Anolis sagrei: one gene and its partner. The protein of the gene in region 1 purifies or fractionates together with the protein of each later gene. This does not show direct contact. Links are inferred from orthologs where the notes say so. Each region holds a gene or a part of one and is shown in the gene's direction. Other genes may lie near its edges.

Region 1 (3,751 bases):
CCATCTGTCAGGGGTGATTTGAATGCAATATTCCTGCTTCTTGGCAGGGGGTTGGACTGGATGGCCCATGAGGTCTCTTCTAACTCTATGATTCTATGACTAGATAGAATAAATCATTTATTGAGCTGTTTTATCCTGGTTTTAATCTTATTCGATGGTGTTCTAACTTTAGCACTGCATGCACGTTTAATAGATAGACAGACAACATAGATAAAACTGTGCTTGTGTGTGTGTGTATTTAAAATGGTTGTTAACTGCTTTCAAGAATGATTGACAACTGGGAAACAGAGGGAGAAAATGTGGAGGCCATGACAGACTTTGTATTTCTAGGAGCCAAGATGACTGCAGATGCAGACTGTAGCCAGGAAATCAGGAGACCCTTACTTTTTGGGAGGAGAGTAGTGTCCAATCTCGATAAAATAGTAGAGACATCAGACTGGCAACAAAGATCCGCCTAGTCAAAGCCATAGTATTCCCTGTAGTAACCTACAGATGTGAGAGCTGGACCTTAGGGAAGGCTGAGCGAAGGAAGATAGATGCTTTTGAGCTGTGGTGCTGGAGGAAAGTTCTGAGAGTGCCTTGGGCTGCCAGAAGATCCAACCAGTCCATCCTCCAGGAAATAAAGCCCGACTGCTCATTGGAGGGAAGGATACTAGAGACAAAGTTGAAGTACTTTGGCCACATCATGAGGAGACAGGAAAGCCTAGAGAAGACAGTTATGCTGGGGAAAGTGGAAGGCAAAAGGAAGAGGGGCCGACCAAGGGCAAGATGGATGGATGGCATCCTTGAAGTGACTGAACTGACCTTGAAGGAGCTGGGGGTGGTGACGGCCGACAGGGAGCTCTGGCGTGGGCTGGTCCATGGGGTCACGAAGAGTCGGAGACGACTGAACGAATGAACAACAATAACAACAACATTAAGGGGTCACGGCATTAGGATTGTTGAGAACCATTGTTCTAGAGGCATTTTCTCCTGACGTTTCGCCTGCATCTATGGCAAGCATAGATAAAACTGTGCTTGTGCGTGTGTGTATTTACAATGGTTGTAAACTGCTTTCAGGCCAAAAAAAACCCTGCTAGATATCCATCATCATAAATTAGCAAGGGTCACGTGACGGCAGCCTCCTCAGCACACCCTCCCCTCTCCTGCCGCCTTCTCCCGCGGGCGCGAGCTCAGGCGCGCTCCCGTCATCGTCTTTACTTCAACCCTGCCCCTTGCTCGCTCTCGGTCACGTGACTCGGTTTGTTGTCGTCGCCGCCGCCTCTGCTGAGGCGGCCCGGCCTTGTGTGGGCGTCGGCGAGGTCACGTGTCGCGCGAGGGGAGGGGGGAAGAGGAGGGGGGAAGAGGAGGAGGGCATCTCTGCCTCTTTCTTTCGTCAACAGCCGCTGGGAGAAGGGGAGGGGGAGGAGGGAAGAGGAAGAGAGGGAGGGGGGAAGAAAGGAGGGAGCCTCCGCTCCTGCTCCAAGATGGCGGACGAGGAGGCGCCGCGCCTCCAGCCCCGCGGCGGCCTCAGTCCCGAGCCGGCTCCGAAGCGCCTTCGACGGGGCTCGGCTGAGGAGGAGGCCGTCGCCGAAGGAGCCGCGGCGGAGGAGGCCCCCTCAGGCGGGAAGGAGGCCGCAGGAGGCGACGACAGGGGATGGAGCCTCCCCGAGAACGGGCCGAGGCGGTGGGGCCTGGGCCGAAGGGAAGAAGAGGAGGAGGAGGAGCGCCAACCGCCGCGGCTGAGCGGAGGGGAGGAGGCGGGGGCGGCGCGCGCCGGAGAGGAGGCCGCGTCGGGGCCGGCCATTGGCTGCGGGGCGGCGCAGTCTGCCAACGGAGAGGCCCAGCAAGGAGGAGGAGAGGCCGGTGAGTCTTCTGCGGGGTGGCCTCTCTAGCACAGTGGTTCTCAACCTGGGGGTCGGGACTCCTGGAGGGGTCGCGAGGGGGTGTCAGAGGGGTCACCAAAGACCACCAGAAAACACAGAATTTTCTGTATTGTCGAAGGCTTTCATGGCTGGAATCACTCAGTTCTTGTGGGTTTTTTCGGGCTATATGGCCATGTTCTAGGGGCATTTCTCCTGACGTTTCGCCTGCATCTATGGCAAGCATCCTCAGAGGTGAGGTCTGCTGGAGCTGGGAAAAAAGGGGGTTTATATATCTGTGGAATGACCAGGGTGACACAAAGGGCTTTTGTAAGTTGGGCTAGGTGTGAATCTTTTAACTGACCACCTGATTAGCATACAATGGGCTGAATGTGCCTGGAGCAAACACCTTCACCATTTGGAGCCATGGAGAAGAAGAACTCAACAGGTTCCTGGACCATCTTAACAGCATCCACCCAAACATCCAGTTCACTATGGAAAAAGAAAAGGAAGGAAGACTTCCTTTTCTAGATGTCCTAGTCATCCGTAAACCAGATCAACAATTGGGTGACACCGTTTACAGAAAACCCACACACAGAGATAGATATCTACATAAAAACTCGAACCATCACCCAAGTCAAAAAAGAAGCACCATGAAAGCCTTGAGTACTGACCACCTTAAGTAGCATTTGAGGGCTTTGCAGTGCCTGGGGGAATCTTTTGTTGAGAGGTGTTAAGATGTGCCTGGTTGTTTCCTCTCTGCTTTTTTGCTGTTATAATTTTAGAGTTTTTTAATACTGGTAGCCAGATTTTGTTCATTTTCATGGTCTCTTCCTTTCTGTTGAAATTGTCCACATGCTTGTGGATTTCAGTGGCTTCTCTGTGTAGTCTGACATGGTGGTTGTGAGAGTGGTCCAGCATTTTTGTGTTCTCAAATAAAATGCCATGTCCCGGTTGGTTCATCAGGTGCTCTGCTATGGCTGATTTCTCTGGTTGGAGTAGTCTGCAGTGCCTTTCATGTTCCTTGATGCGTGTCTGGGCGCTGCGTTTGGTGGTCCCTATGTAGACTAAAAAGAATTCTGTGTTAAACTGATAGTCTACTGTGTTCAACAGATTATTTAATTTGCTTTCTTTAATTTTCAGCTATTATGCAAAGTGTGTGAACTCTTACATCATTTCCCCCTTTGTATGGTGCAGATCATTTATATTCAAAGTATCAATCTATTTATTTAATTAGTAAAAGGTAAAGGTTTCCCCTGACATGAAGTCCAATCGTGTCCGACTCGGGTGTGGTGCTCATCTCCATTTCTAAGCCGAAGAGCCGGTGTTGTCCATAGACACTTCCAAGGTTTTGAACTGTTGGCAAAAGCTGGGGCTGACAACGGAAGCTCACGCTGTGCCCCGGATTCAAACCTGCGATCTTTTGGTCAACAAGCTCAGCAGCTCAGCGCTTTAACCCACTGCGCCGCCCGTCTGCTTTCTTCACCCACGTCTGAATGAAATTCTGCATGAAGCTGAAACATTCACACCTAGTTCCAACAGACAAGAGTTCTTTGTCCCACCCTGGAGTGCCTGCAGTGCTTTCATGTTATTTGAGAACGCAAAAATGCTCGACCACTCTCACAACCACCATGTCAGACTACACAGAGAAGCCATTGAAATCCACAAACATGTGGACAATTTCAACAGAAAGGAAGAAACCATGAAAATGAACAAAATCTGGCTACCAGTATTAAAAAATTCTAAAATTGCAACAGCAAAAAACAGCAGAGAGAAAAACAGGCAGGGACATCTAATCACCTTTCAAGAAGAGTTTGCTCCAGGCACAGTCAGCCCATTGTATGCTAATCAAGGTGGTCAGTGGAAAGACTCACACCCAGCCCAACTTACAAAAGCCCTTTGTCTCACCC
Region 2 (3,751 bases), on another chromosome or scaffold:
AAAGAGCATTCTGAACCCCACGAATGCTGGCAAACTTCCCACACAGAACTCCCATGAGCAGCAGAAGATACTTAAGGCCATCTAATCCAACTCCCTTCACCAGCGCAAGAAAACGTAATCAAAGCCCTCCTGACAAAGGGCCATCCAGCCATAGATATAGATATATATGATCCACACACAGAGAGAGATATAGATTTGAAAGCGATTCCACCAAAAAAGACAATTATATGTAGCATGTTCCACATTAGGCAAACCAGACAATCTCCACATCAACACTCACAAAGAAATAGCAAGAAATACTGTTTACCCACAAGCATAAAGACATTACATATATTAGAAACCAACACTTTCTCGTTACTTTATTTTCCAGATCACCAGACTGGGCCACAGCAACGTGTGGTAGGGGACGGCTTTTAGATATATAAAAGTCCCTTATATTATAAACAAGAATTCTAGAATATTATAATATAATAAATGGGATCCAAGTTTAAACAAGAATATAATATAATATATATGACCCAAATTTAAACAAGAATTCATATATATATGAATTCTTGTTTAAACTTGGATCCCATTTATTATATATTATATTCTTGAATTGTTATTTAAACTTGAGTCCCTTATATTTTATATTATATTCTTGAATTCTTGTTTAAACTTGGGTCCCAGATATTACATTACATTATGTTATATTCTTGAATTCTTGTTTAAACTTGAGTCCCTTATATGATATTATATTAATTATATTATTGAATTCTTGTTTAAACTTGGGTCCCTTATATTCCTGAATTCTTGTTTAAACTTAGGTTCCTTATATTGTATTCTTGAATTCTTCTTTAAACTTGAGTCCCTTATATTATATTTATTATATTCTTGAATTCTTCTTTAAACTTGGGTCCCTTATATTCTTGAATTCTTCTTTAAAGTTAAGCCCCTTATATTATATTAATTATATTCTTGAATTCTTGTTTAAACTTGGGTCCCAAACACACACGCACACACGATCCAAGTTTAAACAAGAATATATATGAAAAATAGGTGGCAAGGGGCAGTTCAAAATGGTCCCAGTCATTTTGTGAGTTTGTAAATCCATTTGCGGAATAATAGTCACTTGCCTCTCTTTGGAACACAAAGTGGATCCTTCCACCTCCCCCCCCCCCCACACCTCCGTTCACTACTTGGTATCTCCCTAGTTATGTTACAACACGCCCCCCTCCTCCTCCTGCCCTGGCGCGTGTGCGCATGCGCGCGCCTCCTCCCCCTCCGCCTCCTCCCTCCCTCCCTCCTTCCCTGCCAACCCCGCCGGAGCTCCTTAAGCGGGTAACCCGATATTCAAAAACAATACGTCATCCCACAATGCCCCGCTGCAAACGGCAGCCTAGGCATTACCTCATCCCACAATGCCCCGCGAGCGACGAAAGAAAGGGCGGGGCTCGTCGGCGGAGAAGCTTCTAGCCGGGTGGGGTGGCCATGGAGATGGGCGCCTTTGCTTTGCAAACGGGCACAGGCCGGCGGCAGGCCTGGCCCCGCCCCCTTCCCCTCCGCGAGGCGGCGGCGGCAGCCAATGGGAAGGCCGCGGGGTGACATCATGGGCTATTTTTAGAGAGTTACTGCTCGCTGATAAGTGTTGGGACTCCACGCTGAGAAAGAGCTCAGAGTTGAAGCAAGCGCGAGCGCAAGCGGCACGAGAGGGAGGAAGAGCCGGAGCATTCGCCGCCGCCGCCGCCACCGCCACACGGTTCCCCTCAGAAGGCGAAGAGGAGAAGGAGCCTGCCTCGCTTTTGGGACGCTCTGTGAGGGGAAGACGACGCCGAGCGGCCCTTCAGGGGGAAAGGCGGCCAAGGGAGAACCCTGAACTTCTTGGGGTGCCCTCCATTTTATATCAGCAGGGATTGAGAGGAGAGGACGCGTCGTGGCGCCTCATTCTTTCCCGACTGGACTCTGGGAACGAGACTTTTCCTCTCCTTCTCCCGTGTGCTTCCTAGAAAACTTCATTTCTCCCCCTGACAGCCGCTCCTGAGAAAGAAGGGAGGCTTCAACAAGTGTGTGTTTGAACAACTCGGCGCAGGACACTCCCACCAGGGACGGAGGGGGTGGGGAGCCTCCATACTTTGAGAAAAAGTAAGTTGTGCTGGACTTCCACTCTCTTTGCGCCTGGATTTCGTACTCTTGGAGATACCAGCCTCTCTTTACTCCCCAGAGGGAAGGGACTGACAAGCCAATGCCTTGTGGCGAAAAAGTAAGACTGTAATCATTGATTCTTCGAGTTCTCCCAGAATAATATTTTGTTGTTGTTGACTTATTTGGTGGCCAGCACTGACTCTGATAAACTTTTTTTTTCAAAAAGTGACTGAATTCGCTGCTTAGTTTCTCAACTGGAGGGGAGCAAACTTGTGGACTGTGTTCTATGACTGCAAAGATGGAACCTACATTTTACGACGATGCCATCAACGCGACCTTCGTCCAGCCTGAAAGTGGCACTTACGGATATAACAATCCCAAAGTCCTGAAGCAGAGCATGACGCTCAATCTGGCTGACCCGTCCAGCAACCTCAAGCCGCACCTGAGGAACAAGAACGCCGACCTGCTGACCTCTCCCGATGTGGGCCTCCTCAAGCTGGCTTCTCCTGAGCTTGAGAGGCTCATCATCCAGTCTGGCAACGGGCTGATCACCACCACTCCCACCCCGACCCAGTTCCTGTGTCCCAAAAATGTCACCGACGAACAAGAAGGTTTTGCGGAAGGCTTTGTCAGGGCTCTCGCAGAGCTGCACAATCAAAACACCATGCCAAGTGTTACCTCTGCTGCCCAGCCGGCCAACTCTGGCATGGCCCCAGTGTCTTCCATGGCTGGAAACAATGGCTTTGGTGCCAGCTTGCACAGCGAGCCTCCTGTCTACGCCAACCTCAGCAATTTCAACCCCAGCACCCTCAGCACGGCGCCTAACTACCCCGCCAGCAACCTGGGCTACCCTCCGCAACATCACCTGAACCCTCCCATGCCGGTGCAGCATCCCCGCCTCCAGGCTCTGAAAGAAGAGCCTCAGACTGTCCCAGAGATGCCTGGGGAGACTCCTCCCCTGTCACCGATTGACATGGAGTCCCAGGAGAGGATCAAGGCGGAGAGGAAGCGCATGAGAAACCGCATTGCCGCCTCCAAGTGCCGGAAAAGAAAGTTGGAGCGGATTGCCAGGTTAGAAGACAAAGTGAAAACTTTGAAAGCCCAGAACTCGGAACTTGCCTCCACAGCAAACATGCTGCGAGAGCAGGTTGCGCAGCTGAAACAGAAGGTCATGAATCACGTCAACAGTGGGTGCCAGCTCATGCTCACACAGCAGTTGCAAACTTTTTGAAAAGAGAGTGGGAAGCAAACTGCGTTGGGGTGAAAATTAAGCGAAAAGAAAGAGAGGTGGGAGTTGGGAAGCTCACCTGGGTTGTGGGGCAGGAAGACAAGCCGGAAAGGCATTGTTCCAGAGAGCGCTTCCACGACTCCCAACACCACTTCCAAAGCATGCATGGAGAGAAAGAGACTGGGTGCCTTTCTGTCTGAGGTGGTGGCATGTCAGTTGGAAGTACAGCTCTCCGAAGTGCTGTTTCTGCTCAGACAAGGCTACAGAAGCCTGGTGTTAGCTTTTTCTTTCTTTCTTTTTAACATTGACCAAGACCTGCATGGACCTAACATTCAATCATCATTCAGTATTAAAGGTTAAACTGCAGTAGATACTGTAGATTGCTTTCTCTTAGTACTCATT

What was found. Proteins that work in one complex are often made in the same cells at the same time.
Region 2: the proteins of SIRT1 (region 1) and JUN purify together in Homo sapiens (affinity purification with mass spectrometry; 4 studies listed by BioGRID and IntAct, with this or other methods). This does not show direct contact. The link is inferred for Anolis sagrei from reciprocal best matches to the Homo sapiens genes SIRT1 and JUN.

What each region holds. Positions count from the first base shown.
Region 1 is NC_090023.1:170,122,564-170,126,314, forward strand, and holds the start of SIRT1 (NAD-dependent protein deacetylase sirtuin-1), read left to right. Parts: upstream 1-1,427; 5' UTR 1,428-1,466; coding exon 1,467-1,845; intron 1,846-3,751. UniProt on the Homo sapiens protein: NAD-dependent protein deacetylase that links transcriptional regulation directly to intracellular energetics and participates in the coordination of several separated cellular functions such as cell cycle, response to DNA damage, metabolism, apoptosis and autophagy.
Region 2 is NC_090024.1:169,479,446-169,483,196, forward strand, and holds the start of JUN (transcription factor Jun), read left to right. Parts: upstream 1-1,478; 5' UTR 1,479-2,407; coding exon 2,408-3,352; 3' UTR 3,353-3,751. UniProt on the Homo sapiens protein: Transcription factor that recognizes and binds to the AP-1 consensus motif 5'-TGA[GC]TCA-3'.